Oryzias latipes: one gene and its partners. The protein of the gene in region 5 interacts with the protein of the main gene of each other region in a pairwise test. Links are inferred from orthologs where the notes say so. Each region holds a gene or a part of one and is shown on either strand. Other genes may lie near its edges.

Evidence for each region.
Region 1: the proteins of ehhadh (region 5) and ssna1 interact in binary tests that used the Homo sapiens proteins (3 or more experiments, as listed by UniProt). The two-hybrid records come from large-scale screens. The link is inferred for Oryzias latipes from reciprocal best matches to the Homo sapiens genes EHHADH and SSNA1.
Region 2: the proteins of ehhadh (region 5) and actb interact in binary tests that used the Homo sapiens proteins (3 or more experiments, as listed by UniProt). The two-hybrid records come from large-scale screens. The link is inferred for Oryzias latipes from reciprocal best matches to the Homo sapiens genes EHHADH and ACTB.
Region 3: the proteins of ehhadh (region 5) and tpp2 interact in binary tests that used the Homo sapiens proteins (3 or more experiments, as listed by UniProt). The two-hybrid records come from large-scale screens. The link is inferred for Oryzias latipes from reciprocal best matches to the Homo sapiens genes EHHADH and TPP2.
Region 4: the proteins of ehhadh (region 5) and necab2 interact in binary tests that used the Homo sapiens proteins (3 or more experiments, as listed by UniProt). The two-hybrid records come from large-scale screens. The link is inferred for Oryzias latipes from reciprocal best matches to the Homo sapiens genes EHHADH and NECAB2.
Region 6: the proteins of ehhadh (region 5) and cat interact in a two-hybrid assay, tested with the Homo sapiens proteins (2 studies listed by BioGRID, with this or other methods). The link is inferred for Oryzias latipes from reciprocal best matches to the Homo sapiens genes EHHADH and CAT.
Region 7: the proteins of ehhadh (region 5) and kctd6 interact in binary tests that used the Homo sapiens proteins (3 or more experiments, as listed by UniProt). The two-hybrid records come from large-scale screens. The link is inferred for Oryzias latipes from reciprocal best matches to the Homo sapiens genes EHHADH and KCTD6.

Annotation. Positions count from the first base shown.
Region 1 is NC_019870.2:25,855,134-25,859,300, forward strand, and holds the start of ssna1 (Sjoegren syndrome nuclear autoantigen 1), read right to left. Parts: upstream 2,801-4,167; 5' UTR 1,622-2,800; coding exon 1,570-1,621; intron 852-1,569; coding exon 652-851; intron 1-651. UniProt on the Homo sapiens protein: Microtubule-binding protein which stabilizes dynamic microtubules by slowing growth and shrinkage at both plus and minus ends and serves as a sensor of microtubule damage, protecting microtubules from the microtubule-severing enzyme SPAST.
Region 2 is NC_019866.2:19,166,576-19,170,875, reverse strand, and holds the start of actb (actin, cytoplasmic 1), read right to left. Parts: upstream 2,801-4,300; 5' UTR 2,732-2,800; intron 1,596-2,731; 5' UTR 1,589-1,595; coding exon 1,466-1,588; intron 1,374-1,465; coding exon 1,134-1,373; intron 807-1,133; coding exon 368-806; intron 297-367; coding exon 115-296; intron 32-114; coding exon 1-31. UniProt on the Homo sapiens protein: Actin is a highly conserved protein that polymerizes to produce filaments that form cross-linked networks in the cytoplasm of cells.
Region 3 is NC_019861.2:16,578,795-16,582,294, forward strand, and holds part of tpp2 (tripeptidyl-peptidase 2), read left to right. Parts: coding exon 1-71; intron 72-190; coding exon 191-307; intron 308-397; coding exon 398-498; intron 499-574; coding exon 575-671; intron 672-752; coding exon 753-890; intron 891-1,718; coding exon 1,719-1,963; intron 1,964-2,219; coding exon 2,220-2,298; intron 2,299-3,500. UniProt on the Homo sapiens protein: Cytosolic tripeptidyl-peptidase that releases N-terminal tripeptides from polypeptides and is a component of the proteolytic cascade acting downstream of the 26S proteasome in the ubiquitin-proteasome pathway.
Region 4 is NC_019864.2:24,684,458-24,688,502, forward strand, and holds the start of necab2 (N-terminal EF-hand calcium-binding protein 2), read right to left. Parts: upstream 2,801-4,045; 5' UTR 2,755-2,800; coding exon 2,428-2,754; intron 1-2,427. Other genes in the region: hydin (hydrocephalus-inducing protein homolog), read right to left, coding at 3,526-3,726, 3,994-4,045. UniProt on the Homo sapiens protein: May act as a signaling scaffold protein that senses intracellular calcium.
Region 5 is NC_019879.2:20,086,573-20,090,728, forward strand, and holds the start of ehhadh (peroxisomal bifunctional enzyme), read right to left. Parts: upstream 2,801-4,156; 5' UTR 2,687-2,800; coding exon 2,613-2,686; intron 1,529-2,612; coding exon 1,425-1,528; intron 243-1,424; coding exon 73-242; intron 1-72. Other genes in the region: tmem41a (transmembrane protein 41A), read left to right, coding at 3,127-3,290. UniProt on the Homo sapiens protein: Peroxisomal trifunctional enzyme possessing 2-enoyl-CoA hydratase, 3-hydroxyacyl-CoA dehydrogenase, and delta 3, delta 2-enoyl-CoA isomerase activities. Catalyzes two of the four reactions of the long chain fatty acids peroxisomal beta-oxidation pathway.
Region 6 is NC_019864.2:9,052,832-9,056,331, reverse strand, and holds part of cat (catalase), read left to right. Parts: intron 1-989; coding exon 990-1,120; intron 1,121-1,318; coding exon 1,319-1,426; intron 1,427-3,068; coding exon 3,069-3,152; intron 3,153-3,288; coding exon 3,289-3,354; 3' UTR 3,355-3,500. UniProt on the Homo sapiens protein: Catalyzes the degradation of hydrogen peroxide (H(2)O(2)) generated by peroxisomal oxidases to water and oxygen, thereby protecting cells from the toxic effects of hydrogen peroxide.
Region 7 is NC_019865.2:16,433,576-16,437,861, reverse strand, and holds the start of kctd6 (BTB/POZ domain-containing protein KCTD6), read right to left. Parts: upstream 2,801-4,286; 5' UTR 2,467-2,800; intron 1,075-2,466; 5' UTR 1,014-1,074; coding exon 987-1,013; intron 199-986; coding exon 1-198. Other genes in the region: monoacylglycerol lipase ABHD6-like, read right to left, coding at 3,185-3,364, 3,552-3,652, 3,734-3,788, 3,926-4,083. UniProt on the Homo sapiens protein: Probable substrate-specific adapter of a BCR (BTB-CUL3-RBX1) E3 ubiquitin-protein ligase complex mediating the ubiquitination and subsequent proteasomal degradation of target proteins.

The DNA of each region.
Region 1 (4,167 bases), on a different chromosome or scaffold from region 5:
ACTCTGCAGCCTCTCACAGCACTTTGGGAAGAAGACAACTATCAAGAATCCTTTTCACAACAGGGCGGATGAAAAGGTGAATCCGAGGATGAAATGAGCTTCAGCTATTCCGGTGCTCGGGCTGTTTTCCGCTAAACTCAATAAACTTTATTGACGGTGAAGATAAAAGCGTGACAGGGTTGTAGGCATGCCCGTCCACACCCAGTGTGCTTTCTACATCTAAAATAAGATGTTTTTTTTAATGTCTGCTTTGATTCACAACAATTTCAGTAATCAAATACACAGAAAAACAGTTTTAAGCTTAATTTTCTTTAAAACATGTCCATCCGATAAATGTTACAAGAACGTAAAAAAACACAATTTTCATCAGAGTGGATCTTTAACTTTGGGGTTCGTGCCTCCTCTTCCTGTCATTTCGGTTTTAAATCAGTTCAAAACTAAATACAAAGACAGTCTTGGTTATTAAAATGAGGAAACCTCTCAAATAGAAATTGTCGTCCCATTTCTCCTCCGGCAGAAGAGTTTAGGTTTCAAAAATATGTTTACTCTAATATTTTGTCACATAGTTGTTGGTTTTCACAGCTCTTTTCACCGACATGTGAACACCTGAAGGGGTTTGGCTGCAGATGCACACATGCGGAGGCGGCTCACCTTGGTGTACGCCGTCTCCGTCTCTGCGATGGTGCGGTCGAACGTGGCCCGAGCGGCCAGCCTTTGAGCCAGACTCTTCTCCACTCGGCTCAGCTTCTCCGACAGGATCTGGATGTCGTGCTGCAGCCGCTCTTTCTCCTCTTCCTCCAGCTTGATCTGACGGTTCAGCTCCTCCCGTTTGGAGTACAGGTCCTCGATGCCTGAGGGGCAGAAGCACGGGTGGAGTTTCTGTGGGTCTGCTGCTGCTCCCCCCAAAAAAAACACCCTTAAACCTGCACCGCTTCACAGTATCAAAGGATTTACTGTTCGTTTAAACTCTTAATTCAACGTAAGAAAAAAAAAAGATGCAATAAGAATTGTGAATGCTTTACACTAAGGTCTTCGCCGTCAACAATTCTGGATCAATCTTTGATTTGATTTTAGGATATTACAAATATTGATTGCGTTAAAAAACAAAAAAGGAATTTCACAAAACATTTTGTTTAGCACTAGCCAGATTTGTGCATCTCTGAAACACATTTTCCACAAAAGCACACCTATTTTTAAGGGTAAATAAAGACATAAATGTCGGATATAATCGACAAGCTAACTGTCCAACGTGCTGAAGATAAAAGCAGCCATTTACGTTTGCATTAAGTCAGAGAGTTAACCTGGTTAAACTGGGTGAAGGTATAATCTTTGGGATTTAACGAGGTGGTGCAAAACTTTCTGATAAATGAGGGACAAAAAAGAGGAAAACAACAAAACTCGATGGATTATTATGGAAAAATTAATTCAGGAGTCTCCTAATAGGGGAAACATGTCATCAAAACCTGCCACGTTACTTATATATCTGAGAAAAACAAATAATTATAAAAAAATATTCCTACTTTTTTTTTAAAGTCTATTTAGAAAAGGGAAAGTGGGAAAATCGCTCACATTTGACCAGCTCGTTGTTGTAGGTCTGCAGGGCGGCAGCTTGTTGAGTCATGTCCGCTGCTAGCTAGCAAAGTAACGGCCGCTTCTGAACTCTCCCGCCGTCCTAGCGATGCTCGGTGCGGGCGACGAGCTAACGCGCCATCGATGCCTCTGAGCTGAGAGGCGGAAAACGTCCGGACAGATTCAGCCTCCTCCGCTGGTCCAAGGTCCCCTCCTCATTCAGGACAGCGGGGCTGGAGCAATTTCCCGGTCAGATTAGGAGACTTCTTCTGCGGTTAATTTAAATGCACGATGACGGACGGGATAGTGGTGGCGCCCTCGAGTGGAAACGTATTTTTGCTTCGGCTGCTTTGGCTTTTCATTTAACAGGGGTTCAGAAAATCAAACATTTAAAATCTGATACATCGTGCTTTAATTTTATAATGAACCCCCTTACCCAGTTCTATGGATTTCACTAACCTGATTTCAACAATGAACTGTTTTCATTATTAGCTGTTGTTGGAAAATATAATCTGTCGCTTTGAGATTACTTTCCTTTGTTGCATGTCCAATAAAGTCGAGAAGAAGAAAACCACGGGATTCGTCCGGATTAAAGATTAACAAATTTATTCCCTAACAATATTTCTAAAAACATAGTAAAAACAGAATAAAACAGAATAAAACAGATCGATCTGGGTGTCCAAAATCAAGGCCTGCAATACGCAAGAGGTTACATTCCGAATTCACATGCAGCTTGTCTGGAGACACAGGAAAATTCCTTGAGTTCAGACTTTTAAGCATGTGGGCAGAACATCCTCCCCCGGGAGCAAGATGGCCGCCGAATCTCCGCCTCTGGTCGCTAGAGATTGGCTGGCAGGGAGCCTGCCCACTTCTGTCAGTCCATGTTAGGAGTCAGCATCCGTTTTCCCGCGTCTGAAGTCACCTCCCAGACTGACATGGTCCCGCAACCAAATGGCTCCCTAGGTGGCCCCCACGTGTGGCCGGATCTTCTTAACATACAGTAGACAATACACCTTTGTTCCCCACACGGGAGCAGATGCCTGTGGCGGTTCCCAGGGATTGAGATGATTGATTTATGATCCAAGTCAGACCTACAACCAAATGGCCCCAGAAGATCAAAGACCGTTTTCTCCTGAAGGGGTTGGAGGTTGGAGCTGCATTCCTGAAACCTCTTTACATATGCAATTATCAGGAAGTCCCTTTTAATTGAAATGACTGAAACCCACACACAGTAAACCTGAAAGAAAACCTTCAAAGAAATAAAGATAAGATAAAAACCTAGGAGAAATAAGAACCACAAAAATAAATTCCTTCAGTTTCCCTCTCTTGACCTCACGAAGTGAGGTCACACAAAAAATAAAAACACATCATCAAAATATAAAAGTACAGAAAAATAAAACATTCAAAGTCAAACTTAAGTTTAAAAAAGTAAAAATATAAAAGTCAAATTCAAATTTAAAAAGTCAAAATATAAAAGTAAAAAGGTAAAAAATACAACAAAGATAACACTTCCTATAAAGAAAAGAAAACACCTAGAATTAAGGGGGGGAATTGAGAAATGTTAAAGCAGAACAAAATCACACAGACGATGAAAAGAGAAAAGAAAATTGTCAAACATAACAGTAAGCAATTTTATAAAATGTAACAAAGTCCAAAAAAGGTCATTCCGGGCCTCGAACACTCGCGTCCTCCTTCTGCATGTCCCACAAGCTCTGGCAAGCTTGGACCTGGCCTCCTATGGACTTCTCAATAAGCCTGTTAGAGATCTGACACATCTGATACAACAGAACGGCTGCAAAAGGACTTGGGGTGTCCACTGCTGTGGTACTGTTCTGCCAAGATGATTCTGCTGTGGGTCTAAGTTTTTGTTAGTGTTAGGGTCAGGAAATTAAAAAATAAAAAACAATAAAACACAAAAGACAATGAGACAAGAATCAATTTACGCATGCGCAGTAAGAGAAAATATGATGGAAAAGGTCCACCACATTTCTCTTCTCAAAGGTCTGCTTCCCCTCGTGCTGTTTTATGAAGAACACAAGTGGGGAAAATACAAATTCAAGAAAAAAGAAAAAAGTTTATTATGGGCTGTTGTGTAATGACCCAGTCGTAGAACCTACTCATCCTTGCTGTGGATGAGAGAAAATCAGATGAACAGACACACAAAGCTTTAAAATTTTTAAAAATGGTCAATCTGTGTTACTATTTAAACATTCTTTCTAAATGGTCAATCTCTTTCTAGACAAATACATTTAAACGATAATAAAATAATGTCCTTCTTTTAATCATTAAGACCTCTTTTGTCTACCTCCCTCTCTTGGCCTGGGGCTAAGCTCCAGGACAAACACATAAAACGAATTAAATGTAAAGCAAGAACATAAAAACAATAAACTGTTTGGTGCATCGATAAGGTGAACAGGCGTCCTGTCCACGTTCCTGTAAAAGGCAAGGTCACAAGAAGAAATAATACAACTGCAACAGAAGATCTTTCATTAATTGCAGGCAGATGTCATCCACCTGTATTAGCAAAACACAAACCTCTTATAGCATAATGTTCTGTCAGAGAGACTTTAAACAGTGATCAAAAATGCAAGAAGGATT
Region 2 (4,300 bases), on a different chromosome or scaffold from region 5:
CAGAGTATTTACGCTCTGGTGGGGCAATGATCTGTAGGGAGAGGAGGAGAGTTGAGAATGAGCCCCTTTTCCCCAAAGGAACAATCCAGACGGGAGACTCTTCAGAAAGCTCACCTTGATCTTCATGGTGGATGGGGCCAGGGCTGTGATCTCCTTCTGCATTCTGTCTGCGATTCCAGGGTACATGGTGGTACCTCCAGACAGCACAGTGTTGGCGTACAGATCCTTACGGATATCAACATCACACTTCATGATGCTGTTGTAGGTGGTCTCATGGATACCGCAGGACTCCATACCTGGAAGGAGATTAAATATTAGCATGGGGCACTCTGGGGTCTGTACACAAGTCTTTGGTTGAGGTACCTACCAAGGAAGGAAGGCTGGAAGAGGGCCTCTGGGCAACGGAACCTCTCATTGCCAATGGTGATGACCTGTCCGTCAGGCAGCTCATAGCTCTTCTCCAGGGAGGAAGAGGAGGCAGCGGTGCCCATCTCCTGCTCGAAGTCCAGGGCGACGTAGCACAGCTTCTCCTTGATGTCACGGACAATTTCCCTCTCGGCTGTGGTGGTGAAGGAGTAGCCACGCTCCGTCAGGATCTTCATGAGGTAGTCTGTAAGGTCGCGGCCGGCCAAGTCCAGACGCAGGATGGCGTGGGGCAGAGCGTAGCCCTCGTAGATGGGCACTGTGTGGGTCACACCATCACCAGAGTCCATGACGATACCAGTGGTACGACCAGAGGCATACAGGGACAGCACAGCCTGGATGGCAACGTACATGGCAGGGCTGTTGAAGGTCTCAAACATGATCTGCAGAGACAAAAAGCACAATGTTAGCATGTTACAAAGCAGCAATGCGACCACTCCACTCGCTACATGCATTAAAGTGGGGCTCGATCTATAGTTAGTACATGGTAAACATTCCTTCACACTTGTGCATGTCATTTTTAGGTGCTGATCTGTTACTCTAAGCCTCAAAACACAAGTGCAGATACAAGGCAAACTGTCAATAGACCTTTTGATGAAAGCTCATCTTATAGGAAGAAATCCTAGAAGAGGAGGATGGAGGAAGTATGAACAGAAGGAAACCAAGGTGAAAAGAGTATACATGTGCTCCACTGTGAGGTAAACGGGTACCTGGGTCATCTTCTCCCTGTTGGCTTTGGGGTTCAGGGGGGCTTCAGTGAGCAGGACAGGGTGCTCCTCAGGGGCAATTCTCAGCTCATTGTAGAAGGTGTGGTGCCAGATCTTCTCCATGTCATCCCAGTTGGTAACAATACCGTGCTCAATGGGATACTTCAGGGTCAGGATACCCCTCTTGCTCTGGGCTTCATCACCTACGTAGCTGTCTTTCTGGCCCATACCCACCATGACACCCTGAAAAAAAGTTTAAATTTACATTTAGTAAATCTGGAAACTTTTAAAATTAAATAGTAAAAAATTATAAAGGTAAACAGTTAGGAACTAACCTGGTGCCTGGGGCGACCAACGATGGAGGGAAAGACAGCACGAGGGGCATCGTCTCCAGCGAATCCGGCTTTGCACATGCCAGATCCGTTGTCAACAACCAGTGCGGCAATGTCATCATCCATGGCTAAACTGGAAAACAAACAAATAAGGCGTTAACACCAAAGACACGCCCATCTGCATCTGCTTTGCAGTCAGATGTCCCATTTCCTGTCAGGGAGCGGCAGTTCCCCAAAGTGTCCGCTTGGTGGAGGTAGAGCGCTACATTCCGAGCCCAGACAAAAGGAAGTGGTGCTGCATTCTCTTGTTACCATATAAGGACATAGTTCGGTTTTGAGCAGCTTTGCGGCTACCGGCAAGGCACGCGGCCAAAGTACAGCAAGAGGGGAGGGACTTTAGACTATCGGACCCGGCGACGAAAGCCTACTCCCACTGGTTCATTACAGCTCTACTTTGTCAGCGTTCCCTCCCATTGTTGCACAAGACTGAAAAATTTCTTAATCACTGCGTCATAATTTGTGCGAAGTCGTTGCTGGCATAAAGCACCACGACCCGTCAAGCTTTAGAAGGAAATTAAAACGTGTGCGAGCCCATGACTGATTAATCATTTCCTGAAAGCCACGCCTTTTCTTGAATGAATGATTTGTCATTTGCCCTTTTCTTCGCCGTCAAACTACAGTTACATGCTCAATTTAATCGAATACTTTTAAAATGCTTTAAGGGTTATTACATTTTATACAAACAAATGTATAACAGTCCCACCCCCCTACATGTGAGGAATCAGAGTCAAGTCTAGAAGGGCGTGTTAGCATGAAGCTAGGCTAATATGCTAAAGTAGGTCACACCCCGTAACGGCGCACAAAGGGACCCGCCAGGATCCAGACACCCTCAACTCGGACGGGTAACGTCCGTAGAAGGACTCGAAAAATTCCCCCCACCATGTAAGATACGAATAGTAATTTTTATTTAGTTGCTTATATAAAATATACAATTAAAACCAAACTGAAAAGCCATTTGCCGGTTACAATCAATTGGCACCTGTGCGTTTAAGTGGCTAATTTTGGTACAACTTGATTGATGCCAAAACAAACAAAATTGTCAATTTTAAAAAGATAATTAAAAGTTTAACCATTTCAGGCCTAAAAATAAATTTAGTGGCCACAAAATTCTGCTAATGGTCACCTCCAATTAAGAATTAAACTGCACAATTAAACAATCGTAAGGTTTCCAAAACATTTGAATTAAACCAAATATCGTCTCTATCTTACCTTTGGGTGGGGGGCTTTTCGTTTCAAGGGAATCGGTTTCAGGCGAATGATATCCCGCACAAGCTGTGTGTGACGGCGCTCAGAGTGAATTTGCTAGCCGTGGGCACGTGGTATTTATAGTCCGTCCGTTGCCCGGCTCTTTCCATAAAAGGTAAACTTTCGGAATCGCGGCATGTGATTGGTCCAGCGTCACTCACTGGGGCACGTCGGGTGCACGCTGTGGTGCACTGAGCGTAGAAAGAGGGAGGCGATAACAGTAACGGGCTGGGGGAAAATAAAAGGATAGGGATTGATGTGAGGCCTAATCTAAGGATATAATGTTTCTTGAACAAATATTAATACATATAGAGTTTACAAAGTTTCAAATATATATAAAATATGAACCTGTATAAAGCTTTCGAGCAAGTCCCCCTGCTTATCTGATCATTCAAACAGCAGAGCACAGGCTGCTCCTCCCTGTGAATACTTTTCCTCTTAAAACCTGTCTCTCAAGATTTCAGTCTGGAAATGCAAGATATGTTTGATGCAATTTGAGGACAATTACAATGTGGATGTTGCTGCACACTCTGGAAAGCAGAATGCCACCTCAGATGGAGTCAGAGACCCTCCAAGCCAAACACATGACTCACAAAAGACACTATGGACTGTAAAAGTGCCCTGTCAGAGGATGGACAATAACCACTTTTCCCACTAAGCAATGGTAAAAACTCAATCTCACTAATACCAATTGACCATGTATGGCATTAGTCTGGATTCTTGTTAACTTCTCAGAGCTCTTGCTACTTCCTCTTTCCCCTACAAATGAAGAAAAAAGGTCCACATAAGAGGACACTAAGGCTGACTTGCATCTACTTTTAGTCATAAATGACCTATTGAGTGAAAATAACCACTGTCAGACCCAACCCATACGCTACTATACATTCACCTTAATCGATTAAACTCAGAGAGAGACAAATAAAGTCACACATGCTCTTATTTCCTCTCTGTGGTTTACTGCAAAGGGTGTAACTTTCCTGACTTTGGGTTTTATAGGCTTAGGGTTCTTTGCTTTTACCTTACTTGTCTTCCATTCATTAGTTTCACAGTTTATTTAAACTTTTTTTGCTCCAGAAACATAGCTGCCCATACAAGTTAAATAACCCAGAGGCCATTTAAACATGTCACTGTCTGCGAGACACAAGCAGCAACTACTTTTCTTCCTCTTGTACCACTTCCTCTTCCTCGCTCTCAGTTACACCAATTCTTTTATGCTAAATGCCATCTCCTCTTCCTTCAATTCATTCGTGGCTTTAAGTTTTAAATGGTCTTTATTTTCATCAACACATTTCCACTTTATACATGGAAACGTTTCAGCTTTTTAATCAAGTTTCAAACAAAACATGCTTCATTTCCTTCTGAATTAGCAGATTCTTGCATTTCTGATCAGCAGACCTAACTTTTAAATGTCCATTTTTGTTTTGTTTTATTAACCCGCTGAAATAAAAGCTTCTGCTTGTGGGGTGAAACAGTTCTCTCTCGAGAGTTGTATGTAAATAATTCTTTATGTAAGAGTTTTAAATCTCTCATAAA
Region 3 (3,500 bases), on a different chromosome or scaffold from region 5:
GAGCGAACGAATTCTACAAGTTCTCCTCATTGTTGGAGAGAGGATCTCTAACAGAGGCTTTCCCCGTTTTGGTATGGAAAAAATATATATTTGATGATTTTTACTTGGCTCTAAAGTTGAGCTTTGGCTATTTGAGAGCTTTTAGGAAAAAATGTTGCTGAATTTTCCTTGTTTTTTTGTCTTTTTGCAGTCGGGTAGGGTTGTGGAGCTGTGCATAGCTCGTTGGTGGGCTAGTCTGGGAGACGTCACTGTGGACTACAGCATCTCGTTCCATGGCCTCTGTGTTTCTCCTTTGCCGCTCCACATCGTAAGAACTTTGCGTGCATCAGTTTAACCCAATAAATTCCCCATCAGACAATTTAGGTTTGTAGTTAATTGTTGATGTGGATGTGTTCAGCACGCTTCAGAGGGAGTGGCTAGTTTTGACGTGTCTTCGCCTCTACGGTATGAGGAGGTTTCTCCCTCAATCACCCTTAAATCATGGGTACAACCTCTGAGGTGAGTGATCGCCCATCCACACACACAGTTAAAACACAACTTCAGTGTTATTTGATTGGTGTTTCTATCATTTCAGGCCTTTGAGTTCAAAGATAAAGGCCTTGGGAATGCGAGATGTTCTACCCAATAACAGACAACTCTATGAGATTGTCCTTACCTACAACTTTCACCAGGTACTTTCTGACACAAAGCGTAACAAATGCATGTTCTGGTGACATTATGCTTCCAAATAATCTTCTTTACTGCTCTCTAAGCCTAAGAGCGGTGAAGTTACGCCCAGCTGCCCCATGCTGTGCGAGCTCCTATACGAGTCTGAATTTGACAGTCAGCTGTGGATGCTGTTTGACCAAAACAAGAGGCTGCTTGGTTCAGGAGACGCCTACCCGCATCAGGTACACTCACTCCCTCGCTCTACAGTAAACCCTTGTTTTTCGCGGGGGTTACGTTCCAAAAAGAACCCGTGATAGGCAAAATCCGTGAAGTAGAAACCTCTATTTTTTTTTCAATTTTAATACAATTAAATAATCTATTATACATTAAAAAGAAAGAACAAACCATTTTACAGGCTCAAGCATTTGTTTCACAAATAAAAGTTCTTTAGAAATGTTTTTTTTTTTTTCAACAAATAACTCTGTACTGTACTGTCAAATAATAATTTTAATCATCAATGTGAACAGAAGGCTTCAAATCGCGGAGATTAGCCCCGCCCACCGCAACCCGAGAGTAATTGAATTAAACGGGAGAAAATTTAAAATGATTATGAAAAAAATACAAAGTACATTGGGACAAATAGCGACTCAGGTGTATTTCACTGCTCTAGCCGCTGCATCCTGACTCCGCTCTGCAGTGTTTTCTTCTTTTGAAGCCCTCGGTGCAGCTGTGTTTGTTCGGGAGAAGAACATAGTGATAGGCAGTTGTTGCTCTTTTTTCTATGGGTTTTAGAGAAACTCGAAATTGCAAGATAATTTGCACGTGCGTGCTGTAAATTTGGCAAGCTGTTTTACGTACGTGTACATATTAAACTGCAGCGTTATTGACGCACAGGTAGAGAAGAAGCGGAGTGACTTCTTAGCCAATCAGAATGCAGAACACAATGCATGATGCAAATCCGTGAAGTAGCGAAACCGTGAAAAGTAAACCGCGTTGTAGCAAGGGATCACTGTATTACTGACAATTGGTAGCGTTTTTCTAACGTGTCCCTACTTTTGTCGCTCCCCAAGTATGCGCTGAAGCTTGAGAAGGGGGACTACAGCGTTCGCCTTCAGGTCCGTCACGAACAGTCCAACGAGCTGGAGCGCCTGAAAGACCTGCCGTTTGTGGTTTCTCATCGTTTATCCACAACCCTCAGTCTGGATATCTACGAGACCCACCGGGCGGCTCTCATGGGCAAGAAGAAGGCAAACTCCGTCACTTTGTGTCCGGGTACCACACATCCATTTTACATCACTGGTCTGCCAGATGACAAGTGAGTGAAAGGGTTTGGTTTCTTGTTTTTCCGCTGTTATGTTGCTCATAAGCACTTCTGTTTAGAAAACCTGACAGGACAAAGTAAACGTCACAATTCGAACGACTAAAGCTCTTTTTCAATTGATTTATTCTTTGTTATTTACATTATCATTCTTCTTATTCTCTGTGTCTTTTACCTTTTTTTCTTTTTGATTTTTGTAGTCTTTTTGGTTTGATTGCTTGAAATAAACCATTTATAAATCCAAATTTTTCAGGATTCCTAAAGGAACAAGTCCAGGCTGCTACATTTTGGGATCTCTCATTGTGCCTAAGAGCGAGTATGGCAAGAAAGCAGTGAGTAGCTGTTACCAATGGTCTCTTTTCTGTGATCAGTACTTTTGTTCAGGGAACTAAAAGGGAAAAAACAAACAGGCAAAACAACTTTTGCACAGTATAACGTAGTTTTAATTTGTAACTATAGAAATAAAATAGAACATTTTTTAGCTAATTTATACAAACTATGCATATTAAAACGCAGTGTGGAGATGTACAGCCTATATAAGTCCAACCTGCGTCTTTAGTATCACTGATTCTGCAAGTTTTCAACCTAAAAAGCTAAGATTGGTATGTAATGTTCATTTTAGAAACACTTCAAATCTGAGAGACTCAGGAAAGTCCACTGTATAATTTCTAAAGAAATGATTTGTGTAATGGAGCATAAATTAAAGATTTGGCTAAAAACAAAATTTAACTGCAGTACTTTGTAATGTAGCTTTGACTGTCAATGACAGCAGTCAATCATTTCCTTTAGGTCTTCAGCTGATGTAGCTGCGGTTTTGGTCCATTCATTCATGCAGATCTTCTCGAGAGCTGTGATGTTTTGGGCTTGTTGCTGGGCAACACACATTTTAAACTTCTCCCACATATTCTCTATTAGATTGAGGTCCAGAGACTGGCTAGACCACTCCAGAACAGCGAAATGCTTCTTACGTAGCCTCTCCTTTGCAATGTGTTTCAAATTATAGTCCTGCTGGAACATGCAGACATGTTTAATCCTCCCTGATTTTAGAAGGTTTTTACCGCAAATCTTATTGTGCATGACCCAATTTTTAAAGGGGACAGTTGCCTGTCCCGTTACCATTAAAAACAGCCCAAATGCATGATGTTTCCACCCTCATGTTTGTGGGTAAAGTGTTGTTGGGATGCATTCTTTCTCCTCAAAACACGACGGGAGGCGTTCATACCCTAGAGTTCCATTTTTGGTCTCGTGTGAGGCCCTATGGACCACTGCTGGATTTGAATCCATGATGACGTTGTGTTAAAAGGGTTCGTTTTTTTAAGTGAAAGACGTTTCGCCTCTTGTCCAGGAGGCTTCTCCATCCAGAGAGCCAATTTTACAGAATCCATGATTTTGAACTACTGTATTCACACTAACAAGCAAGAACAAACAAAGCGTTTGTGAACCAAAGGAAGCCATGACACATGGCTGATCACATGGCATTTAAACCACCAAGTTCATTTTAGTTGTATCCAAAAAAGGAACAGTAATTTTACAC
Region 4 (4,045 bases), on a different chromosome or scaffold from region 5:
GTGTGAGTGTTATCTGAACAGCTTCAAGGAAAACCAAAGTATATTTCCATTTCCCAGAAGGACTTTGACGTGCTTTCTGGGTAATGGAAAATACAACAGATTTACAGATTTAAGTAGGTGAAAGCTTTTAGACATTTAGTCTGTCCAAGGAATGTTTTAATCCAATAAAGGTATGGATTAAAACTCAAACACTTTGGACCTATTTCTGTTTAAATCCAACTTTAACACCCTCAGATTATGATGCTGAAAGTCGATTTACCCCTCATTGCCACAGTGAGAAGAGAGCTGACAGATGGTAAAACACATGCAATGTTGTGATTTTTTTTTTTTTTCGAGGAGTGACTAATTCTGTGTAGAAATAGGGAATCTGGATTGTAATTAGCGGCTGGTCAGCCAACATTCAGTGCCCAGACTTTTCTGTTTGTCAGTTCACACTGAGGCTGAGGGATAAGGTGCAGCACAGAGCCGATGATGTCCACCAGACTGATGAGGACTCACTGCATGCTCCACATTGAGCTAATTTATAGCTGCAGTAAAAGCTTTGACCTGTTTGGAAGTGAAAGGCTCAGAACTGGAACTTCTGATAAGGAGAGAAACACAAGGATGTGGAACTGGAGGTCGGACAGAAGACAGCTCATAAAGACGAGATCCAGATTGCAGCATTTTTTACTTTTAATGTAAGAACTTGTCTGCTCGTCTGTCTGCGTCATCTTTTTTTTCCTATTTACTTTTCTATTCAGGATCAGCTGCAAAAACACAACAATACAGTAAGAAGGACCCCTGTGTTGTTTCTGAATTCTGTAACCAAAGAGACAAGGTATTGCTGCATCACAGCTGTGTGTTCTAAAGAAGCAAAAATGAGCCCAAATATTGACAGAACTGCAGCAAAAAGCTTCAATGCTTCTTAAATGGAGACTTCCTTCATTCGTTGATGATTTTTGTGATCCTCTAATGTCTAAAAGGGTACAAAACAGACAAGCTGCTAATAATTTATTGGTTTTATTTAAATATGAATGAGAGAATATGATCGTTTTCTAGTCACTTCTGTCAATAACAGTACTGGTGTTGATGGAATCTCTCATCAAAATGTTTCCTTTTTCTGGATTTTGCAGAAAAAACTTGCATAAAAGCTGTTTTATGTTTAATTATTTCCTTCCTCTGTTGCAGTGAAACTCATTAAGAGGTTTTTGCATTATGGCAGCTAAAGCTCTAAATAAGATGTGCAGTCTTGGAGGCATCATTGTAGAACAGATCAAAACCTTGGTGCCAAACTGAGCTGTGCTTCAGATGACAAGCAGCTCTGCATTGTTCGGCTCCTCTAATGCACCCATGGGGCCAACTCAGCCCCACAAACAAGAGCCAGCAACAGAGGAGCTTGGAAAAGAGTGTCGCGTTAAGGAGGCGGTGGCTCACAGCACAGAGGACCAGCAAAACTGTGAGGGCTTAACTATTTCTTTAAAATTAAGAATAAACAGGAAAAAGCCGGACGATGCCTGAAACCTTATTAAAACGGATTTCTCTGAAAACAGGAGGAAAGGACAAATGAGGAAAGGAGGGGAAGAAGAAAAGAGCAGACCGTAGGAGAAAAAAAGACAGCTGGATGCAGGTGTGAGCGTGCAAATCAAATGTTCACTTCTCCACCATGATAATGATGACGGGGTCAGCAAGAGTGGAACATGGCAAAATCATTAACATTCTAGAGTTCGGGGTGATGTGCAAAAGAAGGAGAGAAAATGCTAAAATGATTCAAAGCTGAAGTCAGATCCTGCAGAGAAGGAAGAGTTGCAGGCTTAGAGATCAAAGCGGACTGTCACTGAGAGGCATAAATACAAAACGACAGAAATAATGAACAACAAAAACAGGAGAGAAATCAGGAATCTTTTCATGTATCCAAACACACAATTTTAGTTTGCTGGTAGGGATTCTCTCAAGAAATAACTTTTTGAAAATCTAGAATAATGTGACATGAAATTTGAATTGGCCCTCTGGTCATAACTTTATTCAGGTCATCTGCAGAAGCTGATCTAGTTTCTCTTTTGTTTTGTCTTCTATTAAGGCCGGACTAGAAGATCTCAGGGGGAGACAAACGATCTGCGGGTATTGATGAGCTGACCTATATTAAAGATTGCGCCAAAAGTGGATCAGTGAACCATCTAACTGACTGATGAATAGATTTTTGTTGTTGTTTTAAGGAATCTGTTTCGAAGTTTATAAACTGAATACAGCTCAGGCGGTTTGGTGGAGGATGCAGACAGAGTGGAGAGTTCAGGCGCCAGCCTCATCCCGGACACCCACCAAAGTGTCAAATAACCAGCAGACCTCCTGCCAAGTCTCCACTCCTCGCTCTTGTCTGTGCGTAAGTGCGCACGGCGCGCACCGCTCCCTGGATCCTGCGCATCCAACCCCCCCATGCAGCCTGATACTTACATCCAGAATGACCGAGATGCCTCTCCGTGGCTCCGGGGCAAAGAACTGCTCCTGGGCCACGGCCACCTCCTCTTTGCTGGAGGCGTACTCCCGGCTGGAGATGTTCTTGTTGTCGCTCATTTTGGTGACGATCCAGCGGACGAGCCCGTCGATTCCACCGGGCTGGGCGCCGCTGTTTCCGGACTGCGCTGCCGTCGCGGACTCGCTGTCCTGACCGGCTGAAGGCTTGGGCTGCTCGCGGCTCTCCTGCGCGCGGAGTTTGGCTTGTTCTTTGTTGAGCAGTTTGTGGACTCCGTCCCTACAGTAACGCGCTGCCTGCTCGCACATCCTTTTGCTGCGGAGCGCTCATGCTGCGCTCTATGGGGGAGAGAGAGGAGCTCCCCACCCACCCCACTTCCCTCCTTACATCACACACCCACCCCAAAACACACCCACCCCACATTCCCTGCAAACCCACTCAGGAGACAGAAAACCTTGTGGAAGCTTCAACTTCTCACTTTCCATGCGCGTTTTTTTTGCAGATCATGCGTTATGTGGCTGATTTCAAATGCACGTCAGAACTTTTTTTTTCCTTTTCAAAAAATATTTTGTGGGTGTTTCATCCCGCAAACAGTTTCTGTCCTTTGGCTGTATTCCAGGGGGAGGATTTCTGCATCCCTGAAGGAGCATCAGAGAGTTTTTCCTCACGCAGCTCCTCTCATTAGAGGGTGTCCTGCATGAGTGATGTGACAGATTTAACCTTTAGTAATGACTGACTCCACCAGGTCTGCCCTTTTCCAGAGTTAACGGAACAAAAAGAAGATCAGGACAAATGAGGTCCTGCAGGAAAGTTGACAGAATGACAAAACAGCTGTGGAGGATGATGTGTCTTTCCTCCATCAGACAAGCAGCAGAACTCTGATCAGATTACTTGACATTACTGCCCCCTTGTGGAAATGAGAGTGCATCGACAGGAAGGACTTTGTAGAATTTATTAAGTCATTTAGAAAATGTTTATGCTTTAAAGTATTGCAGCTTCGTCATTCTAATTAAATTCATATATAACAGTTACTAAATAATAAAAACGGATCAGCTGCTTCCTGTTGTGGTTATTTATGATCACTGGGATCCTTTCAGGTAAAAGACCCATGAGCAAGGCTTGCTGTGTCCCTCGCAGCGCTCGCTGGAAACGGTCAGCTTTCCGAACCAGGCCTCCCTTCCAGGCTCTCCATCAGGAGCTTCAAAGGAAACCTGGATGTTGTGAATCTTTTTTGGTTTGATGTTGTCTGGTCCTTTGACAGTAAAGCAGGGGTTGTCCACCTAAAGCAGCAGAACATCCAGTCAGTTTCAGGTTACTACATTTACAGGCATATTCATTTGGGAATCCAGCAACTCAAGCAGCATAACAATAGAAAAGTTAGATGTAAAGTGGGGTTGGAGCACTTTGTAAGTCACTGTGCTAAATATAAATGAGCTGGGTGCTGCTGCAGCCCTTATGAATAATTTAAAAAAATCTTCTATTGAAAGTAAACAGGTCATAGTTCTTAATATGAAGACTTCCTTTTACAAGGTCTGCCTGTTCTTTACCTGAGCAGTGAATGTAATGCTTTGCAGGAACACGTTCTTGAAGGGGATTGTG
Region 5 (4,156 bases):
CAAAAAAAAATAAAACCTAGAATGTTTTGAAAAAACAGCAGCTCAGCACTGGCATCTGAAGCATAGACTGACTTTAGAGTGTGCAATTCGGTAGTGGCATCCAAGCGCCAACTCCAAGCCGCCGCCCAGAGCGACCCCCTCGATGGCCGCCACCACCGGTTTAGCTGCTGATTCCACGCCCTGGATCAGTGGGATCAACGGAGGACCGGTCAAAGGTGAGCTGAACTCCCTGATGTCCGCCCCTTAAATGCACAATCGAGAAGTATTAAGACACTACCGTGTGAAAAAAATACTACTTTTACAAAAGAAAGTAAATATCAACATAGAAAATTGTGCAACTTGTTATTGTGACTGACACTTAGTTGGCGTTTTTTCTAACAGTTAATTGAGTCATTGATCTCAAGTTGCCTTATATAGACATCCATTTTTTTGGGTGTTGGATTCATTTATTTCATTGCAGCTGTTTGCAAATAACATTTCATTGTAAAATACTGAAAATGATGTATAGTATAATTGCACATATACAATTAGAACTACAAAAAGAAATTTCATTGTAAAAGTGTAGGTTGAAGCCACAGCTACTCTAATTACCTGTAAATTTCAACAAAAAATCTTTAGAATTTGTTGAACAAATGTTAACATTAGGAACAGAATCTGAAAATACTGAAATATGATATGGAATTACATCTCTTGAGATCATCTCTGTAAAACTATTCCACAGGATTATTTTTTAAAGCGTTCTGTTTTTTTAAACAAATCCAAATCCCGGAGATTCTCTTGTTTCAAACAAACACAATATGTTTTTGGCAATAATTTATTTTAACGTTACTACATTACCGATGCAGTTTGTAGACATCTGTAAACATTAGAGCTTTAGATATAATAATTAAAAAAACAGTTTAGTAGATTGATCATTTGTTGAATGGTTGACCATCCATATGGCTTTTTCTGTGATATAAAAATTGGTTTTGTTTATTTTCGCCAAATTCCAATACATTTTTTAGCATACATTAGTATGAGAGAAGAGCATGAAAGAGTTTTAATATTTAAAAACCCAGATTCATGTAGTAAAGTACTTGCTTTTGATTTTTAAAATGGGTTATGTGAGATTTCTCAGACTCTTGCTATTAGTTGTTAATCAGTTTATTCAATAAGATTACAATTCATTCATTAAGAATATGTTTCATCTTTAATACATCATTTTTGTATGTTTTTCTTTTACTCCAATTCCAATTTAGACCAATAACTGAAATGTTTTTTTTAATCCACTGTGTGCTTCCAGCATCAGGACAGTTCTAAAAAAAACAGCATTAATAAAATAATAAAATAAAAAGGACATAAAGGCTTAATCATCAGACGTTTTAATATTTTAAAGGCTTGAATCATTTCAGTTGTGTCACCACTGTTAAGGTACAGGTACACACCTCCACAAAATTTGCCATTGTGACCACAGATGACCACGGATTTCACCTTTCGGTCGCTCAGGGCCTTGTCCATCGTGTCCACAATACCTTGCCTTACTGCTGCACTGCAATTAAAAAGAGGATATTATGTTTATCAATTTGAACTTTACCCACCATAACCTGATGGGGCCTGATTGTAATGAGTCTAAGTAAGGACCAATGGAACCAGCAGTGGAATTACGAATGAGATTTGCAAAAATGAAATGATATATTATTGATTTTAATTTATTAATTTATTTATTTTTTACATCTGACATGAAAATAAATAAAAACAAGTTAACCTTTACTCAAGCATAATCAGAAATACTTTATTGATCCCACACGTGGGAAATTTGTTTGTCACCATAGCAACTGACAGCAGAGGGGAAAAAAGACTTAGAATGAAATAAGAAAAAAACAAGAACAAAGAAAATGTAGCATAACGTGCATTTTTCAAAGAAGGTGCTTCTGTAAATATGGTTGCCTTGAACTACCTTTTGCGTTGAGTAGTTTTAGTTCTGAATATAACAGCTTGTGTGCTATTTCTGGGCGAAAACCCTTTGCTTTTAGGCAGACAGCCATCAGTAAATGATTAATTGCAGTGTTTTGCTGTGATGCATTATCTCTCAGGCTGTTGGTAGATACAGTCCATCAGGTTCGTCTGATAGGCTGGTCTGATATGCCAGGAGAAGTGCAATGTAGAAACCAATACAGGTCAGGGTGAAGGCAGGCAAAAACTTATTTTTCTAATAATAAACAACATTTTAAGAAAAAAGCTTACAGTGGAAGCAAAAAACTTAACTTCAGGACTGTCTGCAGCAAATAAAACTGTCATGAAATTTGATTTTTTTTTTTTATTATTGCTAAATAACACCTGACAATATATCTACACAAATCTAGACAGAAGATAACCAAACAGAAAAACATCTGCTTCAATGGCCTCTGTCCTACTTACCTCTACCGCCCCCTTGTGGTTTTAGGAAGAACAAAGTAAACATCTAAAAGTTTAACTCAAACTTTAAATCAGTAAGTTTATATTTTACTTCAAACGATGTGCTTATAAAATAACAATGTACAATTTATACATGAAATACTAATCAAAAAATCCATAGCTAACAGACAGCTATCAATTAGTAAAAGTGTTGTCGCATTGTTGTTTTGTGATCTTACCTGAGTGCATTAACAGGAGGATTTAGGAGCGTAATCAGGCCAACAGTCCCCGAAACACGACTGTACTGAGCCATGATGTTATACTAATGATTAAAACTGATAACTAGTCGCACTTCACCGTAAACGAAGTAAGTGGACTTTGAAACAAATCCGTTAGTGCTACATCGCTTTTCATTTATTTTTGTCCCTCCGTGAATACCGTACAAATATACTTCTTCGTGCAGAAAATTTGAGAATTTAAAGGCGGCAAACAATTAGAGTCATAGCGCCCCCTCGCGGACTGGATCTGAACACAAACATTATTTTGAACGGCATTATAACATTTTTTTATAAGAGTAAAAAAATAAAATAAACGTAAAATGCATGATATTAAGGTCTTTTGACTAACACCTGACCTAAATTAAAGAAGGAGGGGGCGGAGATGCGACGTCACCGCAGAGGTTAGCCGTTGTTGTTCTCCGGGAACAGCTGGGAGAAGTATTTTTCTGCAGAACTGAGGACTACTTTCATCATCATGCGGTCACTTTTCGGGTTAATTGCTGTTGTTACGGCAGCCACGTTGTATCTGTATTCGTTGTCGCAGTATCTCCCGGCCGGACCTGCGAGAAGTCCCCAGCTGGACAGTGAAGGTGAACATGAAGCGAAGGAGCCCCGTTACTCCTCTCCGGAGCCCAGCAGGTGACCCGCGTTAGCCGCTAGCTGTAAAATTACAGTTGTGTTCGGAATTATGGGGTGTAATATCGTGTATTTGGCACAATTCCGGTGTTATAAGTACGAACAGCTTTTAATTACAACACCATATGTATAGATTACGTTATTTGTTTCCTGCTTTGTTTGGAGTCTTTTGGATGTGTATTTTTATTTATGTGGAGCAAACAAACTAAAATACTGTCTGCTGGTTTTAATCGTGAAAAAAAATCATCGCAAAGCTTACAATGAAAAAAATGCATATTTAAAACACTAAAGGGTATTTGATGGAATAATTTCAATATTCTTAAGGGGTTCTGGAGGATTTTGAGCCAGTATTTTCTTTGTGAAATCTGTAGATATATATAGTATTTCGATTTCTGTCTATTTTTAATCTTAGTTAATTGTTTCATTTTGTTTATGAAGATTTTTTGTCTCCCAGTCTTTAAATGCCTCTTAAGGTTTTGTTTTGTGTTTGTCCTGAACCCTAATGTTTCAGATAATCAAAAGTAGTTTTAAAAAATAGGTTTAAAAATAGACATGGACTGTACCAGGTAATCACAAAAAGTTTAATTTATAATCAACTATTGTAATTTAAATTGACATGGCCTTAAGGGGGGGTAATAGGGGATTTCAGACCACAAATCAGTAGGACTTGGCTGACTAAACCTTGGAACAGGTTAATTAAAAAGCTCAAACAATGTTCAAATATTTAAGAAAAAAGAAAATGTATCAAGAAACTCTGATTTCACCATATCAAGATAAGAGGAGTTAAAGGTCTACAGGTGTTTGAATAATTCCAAATACATGTGTGAACTTGAATGTGGTGAAATAATCAAAGCTATATTAATTACAAC
Region 6 (3,500 bases), on a different chromosome or scaffold from region 5:
TAAAACAGCTACACAACAAAAACCATGGACAAAAACGCACACTTAAACCCCAATCTGCCCAGATATGACGTCATGGTGCATTGACACCAAAGTTACACCAACTTAATTCAATTAAGTTGATTGAAAGTAAAATAACTACATCAGACAACTACGTGTTATTTTTAAGTTGAATGAACTAAAAAAAAAAAGATTCATTTTTCACCAAACCAAATAATTAAGTTAGAACAATGGAAAAAAGTTCATCTTTCCAACTACAGCCTAAATACTCTTTTTAGATTGTGCAGCAAAATGTTGTAAACAGCTGCCTAACAATATTATTGACGCACTCCTTTCTTTGCAATGCCTAAATAATACTAATAAAATACTTTTCTCTATATTTATGAATTTAAAAAAAGGAATAAACTTTTAAATACATGTTTAAAATTTTAATCTTACTAGAAGTATACAATTAGACAATATCTTTTGTCGTAAAAAAGGAGCCTTTCCTTCTGCCCGCTTCTTTCATTAATTTGAACACACACAGACAGCCAAACAGCATGGATGTCACTTCTGCTTCCAGCCCTCTCACTCATGGTTTTCACACCAAGATTCCCCCTTCCCATGAGTCTTAGGGGCTGAAGGCGGGACTAACCCCCAGGATGCTACAATATTTAGAAAAATAAAAATTTGAGAGCATGCGGGGCAAGGAATTGTTTAATCCACCTGAAACAAGAGAGATAAGAAATCCAGGACGCAATACTTAAATCTATATATTACACCTTAATTATCCTTTTAAGTTTAATTTACTTAATTTAAACATATTTTATTTTAAATTAAAAATTATTAGTTACATATACTCAAAACAGGGGATGTGTTAAACAAACTTTATATGATTGAGTTAGAAGAGCTTTTTTGAAAACTTTGAGTATTAGCTACTCATTATATTTAATTACTTTGAACGTTCGGGTTTACAGTGTTGATGTGGTTGCTTTGCTCTGTCTGACCTCTAGGTGGCGCTCCAAACTACTATCCAAACAGCTTCAGTGCCCCAGAGACCCAGCCTCAGTTTGTGGAGTCCAAGTTCCAAGTGTCTCCTGATGTGGCGCGGTACAACAGCGCAGATGAAGACAATGTGACTCAGGTGATGAAGAGTCCGGCCTCTGCAGAGCCTTTTCCCTTCAGTCTCTCCACGACATGAATGAAACCTGAATTTAGATTTTCATTTACAACTGATTTATGATACAGATTTTGAACTAAAGTTTCCATGAAACAATGAGAGTGAAACAGCAGAACCTAGATCTTCAGATTGCAGTGACGGTGGTTGATCTGTGTGCTGCAGGTTTGTACCTTCTTCACCAAAGTGCTGAATGAGGACGAGCGCCAAAGGCTTTGCCAGAACATGGCGGGGTCCCTGAAAGAAGCCCAGCTCTTCATCCAGAAACGCATGGTGAGTTCAGGCTCCATCAACTCTGTTAAACTGTGAAAAGAAAAAACTGAAAAAAGTTAAGCAGCCATTTTAGCAGCTGCATTTGTTCACTGGGGGGGTTGTGGTTAAATGTTCCAGCAACTCTGTTTTTGTGGTTGAAGGTTTACTGTCGGGTTTGAAAAAAAAAAGAGGGTCTGTGACACACAATGAAACTGATGTGGCTGCATGAACACCAAAGTATTGAAACAAGAGTTTTAAAACCATTTAAACTTTATCCTAAAGGAAAGTAAAAAATAAATTTCTGCCTAAAATGTGTTGAAGCATAAGTGTGGTTAAAATAAGAAAAACGAAGGAAGTTTGACCAAAATTATCAGTACGTTTACTTTTTAATTCTCCTTCTGGGTCTGCTGCTGTTCAGCTGCTGCAGCTCTACATGGGGATCTGCATCACCGCTGAGCTGTGGTGGAGCGGTCCCCGCCTGAGATGCTGCTTCTGGCTGGTTATGCAGCGATTCACTGAGAGAGAGGTTCCAAATATGAGCCTTTCCAAGAACAAACCTCTGGTTTCACGCTCAGACTATTTATCATTGTCTATCCCCATCAGTTATGGGGTGGGAAAGGGGTGGGTGGTTGTAGGTCTGGGAGGGGGCTCTATTTTATTTTTTGTGCTAGTTTTTAATTATGTTAATTTAGTTTTGTTTTAATGTACAGGAATTGGTGTTATACTCTGATAGGAAAAGTTATGAATTAAGTTTGATCTGATTTGAAAATGAAAACACTTGAGCTCACAAGAACATATTTGTTCTCTCCTCTAACTGCTTAAATTTATTCATGCTTCGTGTTCAAGTCAGACCTTTCCAAATACGCACTCACTAAATTACGAGTCCTTTTTCTTTTACTGTATTTTTCAGAAGCTGTAGCAGCCAAAAGATGAATAAAAACAAATTGTGTACAAGTGGTGTCTGAGTATGAGTCGCACTTCCAGCCACTATGCAAAAACTAAAACATGATTTATTCTCTGAACAATCTGGTAACCGCTTCTGCTGGAGGATCAAAGCTCAGTGTTTCATTTCAGAAGAAATCATGAACTTCCTGTCTGTGAACCACTTAGTCTCTTGGAAGACGTGCAGCCTGCTTTCAGGCAGCAGGGCTGTGGACTTCAACAAGCTCGCTCCTGATCAGCGAGAGTGGTTGCCATAAACGCAGACTTGGACCCATCACCGCTTACCGACATCCTCGGGCTCCAACATGGCGGTGTCCGCATCCCTAAAAAATGCAGACTGAATTGTCTTCATTTGTTTGAAGCTGGAAGTGAAGCGTTTTCTACGGGTGACGTCACTAACTCAGTCCAGGTCTCATGAACAGTCCGTGATTCCAGCCTTACCTGTTATTTTCAAGGGTAGAACATAAAGAAACGTTGTGCCCCGGGTTTTCTTACACCAGTTTTTTAGACTTGAATTTGTAGACCTGAGTCTGTAGACCCTGCTTTTATTTTCAGTGTTTCTAAAATGTTAACGTTATGGTTTTGATCAAAAAGACAAACGGTTCATAAAATAAATGAGCAGCAACAAAAATGAAAGAACCACAGAAGCTTTTATTCTTCACTGTTCTCCGTCTACATTTCCCATCTATTTATTTTTTGTTTTTGTGTGTTTCTCTTGCAGGTGGAGAACTTGAAGGCCGTCCATCCTGACTATGGAAACCGTGTTCAGACCCTCCTGGATAAATACAATGCACAGGCAAAAAAGGTACTTTTTTATTTTCTCTAATAATAATGGAAAAGGATAAATATCCCGTGGCTGTTCTGCATTCATTGCTGAATTTTTTGTTGTGCAAAAATGATTTATCCTGCTGCATTTTGAACATGTGATCTGTTTATCTCAGAGCGCCAGTGTGCACGTCTACAACCGTCCAGGAGCTTCCGCCATCGCTGCTTCCTCCAAAATGTGAAGCTGCACCTCCTCTTCCTCTAACCTCAGAGGAACTCAGAATCACCAACTTCCTGATGGAACGAGATTTGAATGAACCTGCTAACAGCTACGGCTAATCACGTGTGTCTTTGCTAGCAGTTGATTGTCTGTGCAGCTCAATGCTGT
Region 7 (4,286 bases), on a different chromosome or scaffold from region 5:
AGATGTCCTCAGGAAGTTCAGGATGTACCTGAAAAGTGTCCCATCTCGATCAATGAAATAATTTCCCTGAGCGTCCCGAGCTGTAGGGAAATCCCCCCGAAACATGGCTCCCAGCATGGAGTCTGGATAACGCTGCAGGGTGGATAGACTGGTGGTATATAAGTGGCCTCCCACATTCAAGGTAACAGGAGTGGTCATCTAGAGAGGATAGCAGAGTTTGTTTTGTTAGCTCACACACTGGAGTGTTGTATAAGCAAACGTTTTATTAGAAATTATTTCCATCTGAGAGGAACTAATGTTTGCTCAACTACTTTTTGGCACACAAACTGAAAGAATAGTTTCATTCAATTGATAATCTTATAAACACTCACAGCTTGGTAAAAAGTACACAGTTTAAGATGCATCTAAAACCATGAACAATGTTGAAATTAACACCAAATGATATCTTTCACAAACTATGCAAGTTTCTGACTTGACTTTCAATAAATGTAAAGTATTGAAAGTCCAGAAAGTCAGCTTCATTTATCATTGTGGTGTTTGTTGTCAGTGTGGAACAACAACCTAGGTTACCCCACCACAAGAACAAATGAAGGTGAATGAGAAACAGCCAAATTAGTATTGATGTAAGGTCTTCTGCAGAGTTGCTTCGGCGTTGCAGCATAAATGGTTATAAGGGGAATATAAGGAATTGGCATTAAATAACTCATTCCTAGCATTTGTTTACTTCCATCGGTATGTCTCTGACCAATATGAATATCTTTAAAATGTGCCACTGCTGCTGAAAATGAAAAAGAACTACACAACTACATATCTGATCAGTTGGTGAGGATGTAAATGTTTAAATCTGATGCCCAACAGAGGAAATGAGAAATCAATACAAAGAGAAGTTCTGTAGAGTTTGCTGAGACTGGTTCTTCTGTGACGCGGTTCTGGTTAAACAAATGAACTGAAAGGCAAAATGATTATGACTTTCAACTATGTCTTACCCTATGGCCCCAGTCTCCATTATCCATTTGTAGAATTTCTACCAGGTTGAAACCAAAGTAGGGAGAGAACTTGATCAGGACAGACTCCCTTTATTTGGACCAGTAAAACAAGCACAAGAAAAATAATTACATTAATACGAGGCACTAAGAAAACTTGTCAGCAGAATGGGAGAGAAGTTTGCATTAAAACTCAAGTAATGCTTTCTGTAGCAATAACTACTTACATAATCAGACAATATTAAAGTTCCACTCCTATCATCTCTTGATCTTTTTTTAAAGCATTCTTAGTGTTTTTTTATTATTATTATTATGCTGCTTTTAGCCTAAATAAAAAAGAAAATTCAAATAAAAACCTGTGTCATTTTGGAAAAGGTTTTTTGAGCCAGATGCCAGCTGAGACGAGGAAAACAAGACGTAAATGGGTCTATGGTCTGCAAGTGGATGCATCAGAATGGAGCGGAGCAGGGAGCTTATGGCCGGCCGATTGTGTTTTCTTTGTCACAAATATGATCTTTTTCAAAATGCGTTTTTTTTCTGCTCCTGATTCCCCAAAATTTGATTAAAGAAATACTCAGAAATGCAATTTTAAGCTTAATTTTCTTTAAATATCCCCTTCATCATCAGAAAGATGCCAAAAGGACATGTTAAAGGTGCATTTTTCATTGGAGTGGGTCTTTAATAATGTCCCAGTGAGCTTGATTTTGCTTAATGTGTTTGTGTGTGTGTGTGTGGGGGGGGGGGGGGGGGGGTGTTAAAGCTTTAAAAACAAAAATAAATATACAAAACCCAAGTAATATTTTACTGCATTAGTTTATTATACGTATTAATAACAACAAATACTGATGTAAAACATGCCAGATTTAGTCTAGGGATCATTAGGCCAGAATGAAAAAAATTGCAAAAGACAAGATAAGCAAGAAACAGGAAAACCATTAACCTAATCCTAATCGGACAAAACTACAGTAAAAAGAAGAGAAGTGTCGTGTTACAGTTAGGATAAAGGTTCCCATATGTTTTGGTCATTTCTAAATAAAATGGATAGAATCCTCCAAAATCAAAGCATTAAATATATGACTAAAGTGACAGAGAGTTAACTATTTGTTTTCTGAAAAACAAAAGCCAATCTTGACTCCTGGTTATTTGGCATTATCGAAGTGACTGTGTAATTGACTGCAGCGCAGGCATAAATAAATGAGAGAAGCCGGCAGAAGAAATAACACAAGCTTTTAGTTAGAGGTAATAGTGTGCTTCTCTGTAAGCTTACATTAAGTACAATTCTGAAGAAAAAAAGTGAAATAAACCGTGAATACTAACGTTGAGACATCAAACATACGTGTAAGTGTGAAAGCTAGCAGCTAGGTTTTTCTTTTAACTAGCATGCTAGCAGCTAGCAATCCAAGAACGTTAGCTGCGGTCTCTACTGAGGTTCATGATGGTTTACAAATCAACCAACCAGGTAGACAATAAAGCAAAGACTCACCAGCTTTAGCGCCTTTTTTTTTCCTTCCTGAATGGCTCCTAAGAAAGACTCCCCCGCTGTTCTCCAGTAACGGTGGATCAAATGACCACTGATAGGATCCTTGCCTGCGGTCTGTCTCACCGGGCAGCTGCACTCTGCTTCAGGCTGCAGCGGAACTGCGCACACTGACGGGGGGAGAAAGCAGGAGGGAGGAGGTCCTGCTGCAGCTACAGCCTCCTCTGCTTCATCCACGCATCCATGGACAGGGCACTTCACAGATTCACAGGCCTACCAAGCATGGGATCAGGAGCGCAAGGATTCCTCCTCCAAGTCCAACCCATGCGCTTTACGCGTCAAAATGACCAAACAAAGCGGGGAAACACCTCAATACATTATGGTGGCACAATAAAGGACTGATGATTTTTCTATGTAAATTTAAACATTGACCAAAAAAATAAAAAACGGCGAATGCCTAAATAAATGAAAATATAAAATAAAATGTAAAATAAAAATGTAGACATGGGCTATTACAGATTCAAAGCAGATATCTTTTGAATTGTCAGCATAAAAGCAGATTGATCAAGTTTTGGTAAACAAAAGACCACACATCATATCTAATCCAACTTTATTAGTCAAATTGGAGACACAAAACAAATAAATCATTTTTCATATTTTTCTCTACTTCTGTGCTTCTTCCTCACATAGGCTACATATTTGATCTGTTCCCTTAATCTTCTATTCAGGACGATTTCTTGGTACCACCTCTGGCATTCTGCTGCAAGATAATGAACTCCAGGATGAGTCTGGCTGTCCGACAAGGCTTCTCCATAACCACGGAGTGACCACAGTTATCCAGCAGGTCTACCCTGCAGCCAGGCAACAGCTCTGCAATAACGCTTGCCCCGGAGACATCCACCACCTGGACCAAAAGGCAATCTCTTTTGGCATTTCATTACAAATAAAGTCAACTGTTGTCTTAAACTGACATTTCTATGTTACATATTGGTACACCTTAATGAATATATAATGAGTAATATATAAATAAATCATCACAACACTCACCTAAATTGAACCAAACAAAGTTATTATTGGAACATGATATTTACCTGATCTTGTTTACCCCAAATCACTTGTAGAGGGGCATTTATGAGATGCAGGTGCTCTTGCAAAGCATATCTTGAGTTCTCACTAACAATCTCCATAAATACTGCAGAAATGAAAAAAAGTTTTTATTTTCATGTTATTTTAGTAAAAAAGTAATAATTATTTTTTTTACAACAAATCCCACCTTCTTCATAAAACGTGTTGTGAGGCAGTCTGACGTCTACCAATCCTTGAAGAATCTAAACAATAAAAAAATAAGGTTAAAGTATCCATTAAATGTAGCAAACATTTTTGTGATTTTATTTCCCCGTAGATTGTCCATTTTTGGTGTCTATAGTACACAAAGGGAAACTTGTGTTACAGGTGTGGACTTGACCTGTTGAGGAATTCTAAAACGAACGTGGGAGCAGAGTCTGAACATGTCCTCCATCTCCTCCGGTGTGGTCGGGATCAGTGGGATGCTCAGTGAGTAATTGCTGTGCTCCAGGTCCTGTAAGTGATTGTCAAACTTGGTCTCACACGGATGTCTAATTCCTGCAGCAGAGAAACTATTGTAAACTGATGTTTGAACATTTTTTTTCCTCAAGAAATTAACCTGGAAGCTGTTTGGTAGAAAAGAAAAAAAAAAGTACAAATAAATACAACTGTAAATCTCAAAAGAATAATGGATTAGGAATGAAATTATGGTCTCAATAAAATATTATGCCTTGCAAGGGGCACTGACAATTTCTAAGATT